2 linked regions of the Rattus norvegicus genome follow. The protein of the gene in region 1 interacts with the protein of each later gene in a pairwise test. Links are inferred from orthologs where the notes say so. Each region holds a gene or a part of one and is shown in the gene's direction. Other genes may lie near its edges.

What was found.
Region 2: the proteins of Erlin1 (region 1) and Agr3 interact in binary tests that used the Homo sapiens proteins (3 or more experiments, as listed by UniProt). The two-hybrid records come from large-scale screens. The link is inferred for Rattus norvegicus from reciprocal best matches to the Homo sapiens genes ERLIN1 and AGR3.

What each region holds. Positions count from the first base shown.
Region 1 is NC_086019.1:252,903,423-252,907,174, reverse strand, and holds the start of Erlin1 (erlin-1), read left to right. Parts: upstream 1-1,493; 5' UTR 1,494-1,582; exon of another isoform or gene 1,583-1,715; intron 1,716-1,863; 5' UTR 1,864-1,874; coding exon 1,875-1,987; intron 1,988-3,598; coding exon 3,599-3,680; intron 3,681-3,752. UniProt on the Homo sapiens protein: Component of the ERLIN1/ERLIN2 complex which mediates the endoplasmic reticulum-associated degradation (ERAD) of inositol 1,4,5-trisphosphate receptors (IP3Rs).
Region 2 is NC_086024.1:58,369,888-58,373,620, forward strand, and holds the start of Agr3 (anterior gradient protein 3 precursor), read left to right. Parts: upstream 1-813; 5' UTR 814-919; intron 920-3,733. UniProt on the Homo sapiens protein: Required for calcium-mediated regulation of ciliary beat frequency and mucociliary clearance in the airway. Might be involved in the regulation of intracellular calcium in tracheal epithelial cells.

The sequences.
Region 1 (3,752 bases):
TCTACTGCTGATCCCTATTTGTAGCTCTGTTTTGCTTTGTTTCTGGGACAGGCTGGCTTGAAACTCCCACTCCTCCTTTCCTCCACTTCCCAGCTGGGGTTACAGGCATGTGCTACCATGATCCGCTTTTTTTTTTTTTTTTTTTGGCAGGGGAAGGGGACCGGAGGAGGTGAAAATAGCTAAATTGTAATATTAGTCTGCAACAGACAAGGTTCCATATATTCCTAAGTAATAAAAATCAAATGCATGATACAGGTTAGTGCATGTATTGAAGGGGTGTGGCTAGATTTGCTCTTACAAAGCCCTGAATTGATTTTCTTGCCTGTCATTTCCTTTGTTACTAGCATCATGACCTTGTGCCTGCTGTTGTTTATCTGTTTCCCAGCTTCCTGTCTCTCTTCACTCTCACCCAGTTACAGATACAACACCCCTTAAAGCACTACTTTCTGGTATTTTCCTACACCGGAGTTTGGTAATCCTTCCAACCTTGTTAACCCTGTCTTGTCTCTGTCCTTATTTCCTTTGTTCATACATCTCTAGGCTTTACCCTTTCCTTTATCGTTTTTGTTTTGTAATACATGAACCTGTTTCGTGTTTATCCCCTAAACCTTTTATGATAATTATTGTGTGTGTTGGTGTGTGATGTGCCCTTATGTGCTGTGTGAGATCTAGGCTGAAATGAAGTCCTCAGGATTGCCACAAACTCCTCTACCCACTGAGCCATCTCACCAGGTTCACGTAGTGTGGAATGTTAAAATACAGTGAGAAAAGGTTAAGAGCACTGGCTACTCTTCCAGAGGATCCTGGTTCAATTCCCAGCACCAATGTGGCAGTTCGCAACAGTCTAACTCCAGTTCCAGGGGGATTCAATGCCCTCTTGTGACTGCTGAGGGCACCAGACACACATGTAGTGACATATATGCAGGCATAACATCCATAAATGAAGTTGCTTTCTTGCCATTCATTTCTTCCATCAGCAGAAAAACGGGTCCCAGACTTTGTAAATCTGGTTCTAGCCTACCCTGCCATACAACTTCTTTCAACCATAGAAAATCAAGCATTCACTGTTCACTGTTTTGGCCTCCTGACGACAATCCCGATCCCCACATTCAACTTATGTTTATCATTCTGATCCTGTTTCTGGGTGGCTTTCAGAAAGCCCTCTGGTTTAGTGTTCTGGCACAAAATAAATATTCAACCCAAGTCTGAATGATTAATACTGGTCGAATAGCTTCCTCTTCGGAATCAAACCCTTCATTCCTTGAGACTGATCTGATCGTTTCCTTAGTGTACCTGTAGATCGCGCTTGCCAGTCTGACTAGGTCCGAACCACAAAAGCAAGAAGGAACAATTCCTACACTGAGGGGTTGGACCTGTGCACTAGCACTCCCAATCCCTATGCTGTGCGCGCGCCCGAGCCAATTTTGTCCCGCCCGCGCACCGTCTAGCGGGCGAGGGCTGCGTCGCGTGCGTCCCCGCGCAGCCGCAGTGTCGGACAGGTGGGCGGGGCCGGCTGTTGGCAGCAGTTGGCGGGGCCGGGTGGCGGCTGCACGTGCGGGCGGGGGCGATGCGTCACTGACCGGTGAGGCGAGGCTCAGGGGTCGCGGTTCTCCGGGTGCCTGAGACCAAGGCGGTTCTCAGTCGGGACCTTCTACTTGGGGAGCCAGGGAAGGGGTGTCACGACGTACGCCGAGCCGGGGGCGCCGGCACTAGGGGTTGGTGAGGGGAGCGCTAGCTGAGAGAAAGCCAGGGGCCGGAGCGCGGGGCTTCCCGCCTCAGCCCGCGACCGTACGCGGGCTCTTCACTGGGTGGGGGCTGGCCTGTCAGTCAAGGGACTGAGGTTCCTCTTCTCCCGGTGCTCAGGAGGAACAAGGATGAATATGACTCAAGCCCGGCTTCTGGTGGCTGCAGTGGTGGGGTTGGTGGCGATCCTCCTTTACGCCTCCATCCACAAGATCGAGGAAGGACACCTGGCCGTGTACTACAGGTGAGCGCCGCCCTGTGCAGCCAGCGATGGTTCTAGAGCACAGGGAAAGGGTCCAATGGTCACAGTGGAGTCTAGGAAGTTGCTCTTTTCCGCGGCGTCAGGGGAGCGCTTCCAGCCCTGGGAAGTGGTTTCATCCCAGCTGCTGGGAGCTAATCTTTGGCGGGGCACCTTTCTGGTATCAGGCAGTTTAGTGACAAGTTCATGCTGTGCAGAAGTGAAGACACCTTGGTGGGTACGGAAGTAGTCACTGCAACCCAGATGACTCCTTGTAGTCCGCACAACTGTACAGGTGTTTAGTTTGCCACTGTGGATGTTTTTCGGGATCTCTGGCCTTATTTATGACAGTTCTCCCAACTCTACGGTTTTTCTTCTTCATTAGAAACCTCCCATTGTCTGGTGGTTATGTCTCCCAAAGTCTTAATGACCACAACAGTATCCTATTCCTAAAGTTCAAGAGACAAAACCACATTTGCAGGCCACCTTTCTCACTTGTTTTTTCCAAGTCATGGTGAGGAAGAGTGTGGACTCAGTTGCTGTCCATTTGTTTTGGCATAGTTATTCTTCAGTATAAATTACCACCAGCTCCTTGTGATATAGACTGATAAGAGAAGCCAGTTTGCAGAGTTTACAGAGAATTTGGGATGGTGGTTAATTCTGAAGCAGATTTTTTAGTATTTCCATTATGTCCCCGAAACTGGTATTTCTACTTTTAGATCTGTCCAGAATCCTAGAAAATAGACAATTTCGGTGGTATGTCTTAACAGATGGAGTTCTAGCATAAGAAATGCCAGCCTGGACCACATTTCCATCCAGTCTGTCTTTGTCTTTCTGACAGAAAAACCACAAAGAGAACATATCAAGATACCATTCCAAAAAGATAGCTAATGGACATGAAATGGTTCATCTTTTTAATTATGACTTTCAAACCTTTTCGTATATTCAGAAAAGGGATCAGCGTTTTGTGAATTTACTATTTGTTGTGTAAAATAGGACTTTCTGTTGTATTTGCCTCTAATTGGCAGGGGATATTTTCATAGTTCACATATTTCAGAGTTTGATAAACAGACCCATCTCTCGGCTGTAATCTCACCCCTTCTGCTGTCTATCTTTCCACGCTAGGTTTTGTTTCTTTTATACAGAAACTATGTTCCCAGGACTTTACTCTCATGTATTGAAAGAACCATTAGCCTCAGAAAGTTTCTTCTTCCTCGAAAGTTTGTTTTTTCCTTATATAAACTTAGTGAATAATATATTGTTTTGACTTGTCTCTTGTTATGTGCAATTAAGGCACCTTAATTGAGAGTCATTAGAATTTTTTCCGTAAGTATTTATCGGAAAGCTAAAGACCGGAGAGGATCATTTGAACCCAAGAGCAGTGCTAGAGACCCAGAGGTGTGGTTGGTGAAGCTTATGAAACAGGGTGCAACATTGGCAGTGGACATGGACGAATTTTCACATTTTTAACGGTGATGGATGTTTTAAGTAGCCGTTGTTGAATAACTGTTGTGAGGGTAGTAGGTTAGTAACATGAGGAATATGGAATGTTTATTATAGCATTTTAAATTGAAAAGAGATCTTAACAGTTTTATCAACTGAAACATCTTTTTGCAGGGGAGGAGCTTTACTAACTAGCCCCAGTGGACCAGGCTATCATATCATGTTACCTTTCATTACAACATTCAGATCTGTGCAGGTGAGTGATTCCTAGGGATTCCAGATAGACAGGTGTGACAGGAGTTACCACGCTTATGGGTGGAGATGAATT
Region 2 (3,733 bases), on another chromosome or scaffold:
TCTAGCTCCCCATTCCAGGACATCCTCATGGAGTTTGAACTGAGCTAGAAACATCTAACCTAAATATTCTAGAAGAAACTTCTAAGACTTGATGTCTCCAGTTGGCAAGTGTTAGAAAACGGACTGTGTCATCATACTAGAGGCTGGAGGGACAGATGGTATCGGGGAGCCCATCTGCTCACACCCTGTAGATCCCATTGTTCAACTTTGAGGAATTTCACTGCAAATCAGTGAGACACAGTTATTCTCTAGAACTAAATGAGATAAATTCACAGTATATAACAATATCTAAAACAAACAAGAAGGACTGCAGAAAATAACCAAATCATTATTTGGTTATCAAAATATTTTTAAAAAATTTAAAGCATCTCTCTCTCTTTGAGCGAAAAAGAAGGAAGGAAAGACAGAAACTCTGATCTCTTTAGCTCTTTATTATATTCCTGCAATCTGAGTCACCCTGAAGAATTTCTACTTTCTTTGTGTGTAATCCACAAAGCTTGCTGAACTCCCATTGGGAACAATGGAGTACACACGGTTTCTACATTCATCCCCTGCCCCCTTCCTCCCCCCACCCCCCGCCATTTTCTTTCCTTTTTCTTGCAGTGCTGAAACCTAGCCAAATGTCCACTTACCTTGGAAAGTGAAAGGTAGAGAGAGAAAAGCATAAAGAAGTCTTTAGTGTCATTTATAAAGACATGTGATCCTAATTTAGAGCGAGGAGCACGTTCTCCTCCAAAGCCTGAGAACTGGAAAGAAGCCAAGTTCTTTGGACAAGCCTCTGTTTGTGAGCACACAGGTGAGAGCGCTCTTGTTGCCATGCAGGTGAAGTTGTAGGTCAGGTGTGTGTCTATAAATCCACACCCCTTTGTAACGAGTGACACTCAAAGTACATTTCTAACAAGATCGCTGGGCCGCTCAGGTAAGCAGGCAAAACTTCCAGACTACTCACTGTTCAGTCTTTCAACCTCTGCTCTATTGAAACAATTAATTTTTTTCTATTTAAAAGTAAGACTCTTAGAAGCGTGAGATGTGAAATAATGCTATATTCCGTTGCTGCTACTGACTTGGCTTCCTGGGCTGGCTTCATGGTTTAACTCTCAATTCCTATTAATAATAGAGTAAGTTAAACTTATTTGATAATGATCTCGTTTTAAAAAAAAATCAGGCGCTAACAACAATGCTTCCTTGTATTTTTAAGGCTTTACTTGTTTTTTTTTTATTTCTTTAATTTATTTCATGTGCGCTGGTGTTTTGCCTGCATGTATGACTGTGTGTGGATGTCGGATCCCCCTGGAACTGACAGGTGTGATTTGCCATGTGGGCATTGGGAACTGAACCCAGGTCTTTTAGAAGAGCAGTCAGTACTCTTAACTACTGAGCCATCTCTCTCGCCCCTAAAGTTTTATTTTAAAATACAGAAGATTGCAATATTAAAGTAAGTGGTTTATGTTAAATTCCTTTTCAAAAGTACAAGCCTAGAGTTAGAGAGTGCTAATTGGCCAATGCTGTTAAAGCCTCCTGGTAGACAGCAGGGTTGGTGCTTCTTAAAAGAACCTAACCTAAGAACCTAAGAACAAGTAACCTAAGAACAAGTTCTTCCCAATGCCTGTCCCCTACATCTGGAACTTAAGGGTTCTCAACGAGACACACTCAGACCAAGGGAAGCGTCACTGAGTCCCGAACAACCGTAGACAAGCTATATTGTTTTGAATACAGTCAGTACAATTTTTGCAACATCTAACAAAAGTTTCTTAATTGAATATAAAAATGTGCTTGACAATAGTACATAGTTATGTAATAAATGCATAGATGCTAGAAATTAGAGATTATAAGGTTCATCCTCAACTGTGAACTTGACCTAAAATAACACGAATATTGAAGTTACACACCCTCTCCCTTTTCTTGATGTAGATTTTTATCTGTTCATCTCTGGTTCTAACATCAAGAATTTTCCAAATATTTTCTCCAGATTAACTTTCCCTAACTTTTCTTCAAAGATTATAAAAGAATCTGAAGTATTTTTGGACCTTCTCAAGGAAGATGAAGAGAAGATCTCTGGGATTTTTTATTATTATTATTATTATTATTATTATTATTATTATTATTATTATTTTCTGCCTATAGTTCAGTTATAGACCTTCCAGAAGCTGATAGGATTTTTTTCATCTTTATTAACTTGGGTATTTCTTATTTATATTTTGGTTGTTATTCCCTTTCCCAGTTTCCAGGCCAACATCCCTCTAACCCCTCCCCCTTCTCTTCTATATGGGTGTTCCCCTCCCCATCCTTCCCCCATTACTGCCCTCCCCCCAACAATCTAGTTCACTGGGGGTCAGTCTTAGCAGGACCCAGGGCTTCCCCTTCCACTGGTGCTCTTACTAGGATATTCATTGCTACCTATGAGGTCAGAGTCCAGGGTCAGTCCATGTATAGTCTTTAGGTAGTGGCTTAGTCCCTGGAAGCTCTGGTTGCTTGGCATTGTTGTACATATGGGGTCTCGAGCCCCTTCAAGCTCTTCCAGTTCTTTCTCTGATTCCTTCAACGGGGGTCCCATTCTCAGTTCAGTGGTTTACTGCTGGCATTCGCCTATGTATTTGCCATATTCTGGCTGTGTCTCTCAGGAGAGATCTACATCCGGCTCCTGTCAGCCTGCACTTCTTTGCTTCATCAATCTTGTCTTATTGGGTGGCTGTATATGTATGGGCCACATGTGGGGCAGGCTCTGAATGGGTATTCGTTCAGTCTCTGTTCTGAACTTTGCCTCCCTATTCCTTGCCAAGGGTATTCTTGTTCCCCTTTTAAAGAAGGAGTGAAGCATTCACATTTTGGTCATCCTTCTTGAGTTTCATGTGTTCTGTGTATCTAGGGTAATTCAAGCATTTGGGCTAATAGCCACTTATCAATGAGTGCATACCATGTGTGTTTTTCTGTGATTGGGTTACCTCACTCAGGATGATATTTTCCAGATCCAACCATTTGCCTACGAATTTCATAAAGTCATTGCTTTTGATAGCTGAGTAACATTCCATTGTGTAGATGTACCACATTTTCTGTATCCATTCCTCTGTTGAAGGGCATCTGGGTTCTTTCCAGCTTCTGGCTATTATAAATAAGGCTGCTATGAACATAGTGGAGCACGTGTCTTTGTTATATGTTGGGCATCTTTTGGGTATATGCCCAAGAGAGGTATAGCTGGGTCCTCAGGTAATGCAATGTCCAATTTTCTGAGGAACCTCCAGACTGATTTCCAGAATGGTTGTACCAGTCTGCAATCCCACCAACAATGGAGGAGTGTCCATCTTTCTCCACATCCTCGCCAGCATCTGCTGTCACCTGAGTTTTTGATCTTAGCCATTCTCACTGGTGTGAGGTGAAATCTCAGGGTTGTTTTGATTTGCATTTCCCTTATGACTAAAGATGTTGAACATTTCTTTAGGTGTTTCTCAGCCATTCGGCATTCCTCAGCTGTGAATTCTTTGTTTAGCTCTGAACCCCATTTTTAATAGGGTTATTTGTCTCTTTGTATATTTTGGATATAAGCCCTCTCTGATAGGACTTTCTTGTAGGTAATTTTTCAACATCACTACTGCAACTTGCATCCTGACTGAAGCTGACCCTCCCAAGTTGGCCTTGTTAGCCCAGGCTGTCCTGTTCCTTGTCCATTGCTTTCTTTTCATTGTCCAGGTCCGAGAATGACATTCTGAAATGTTTTATGACTTAATGAGCTATAAGA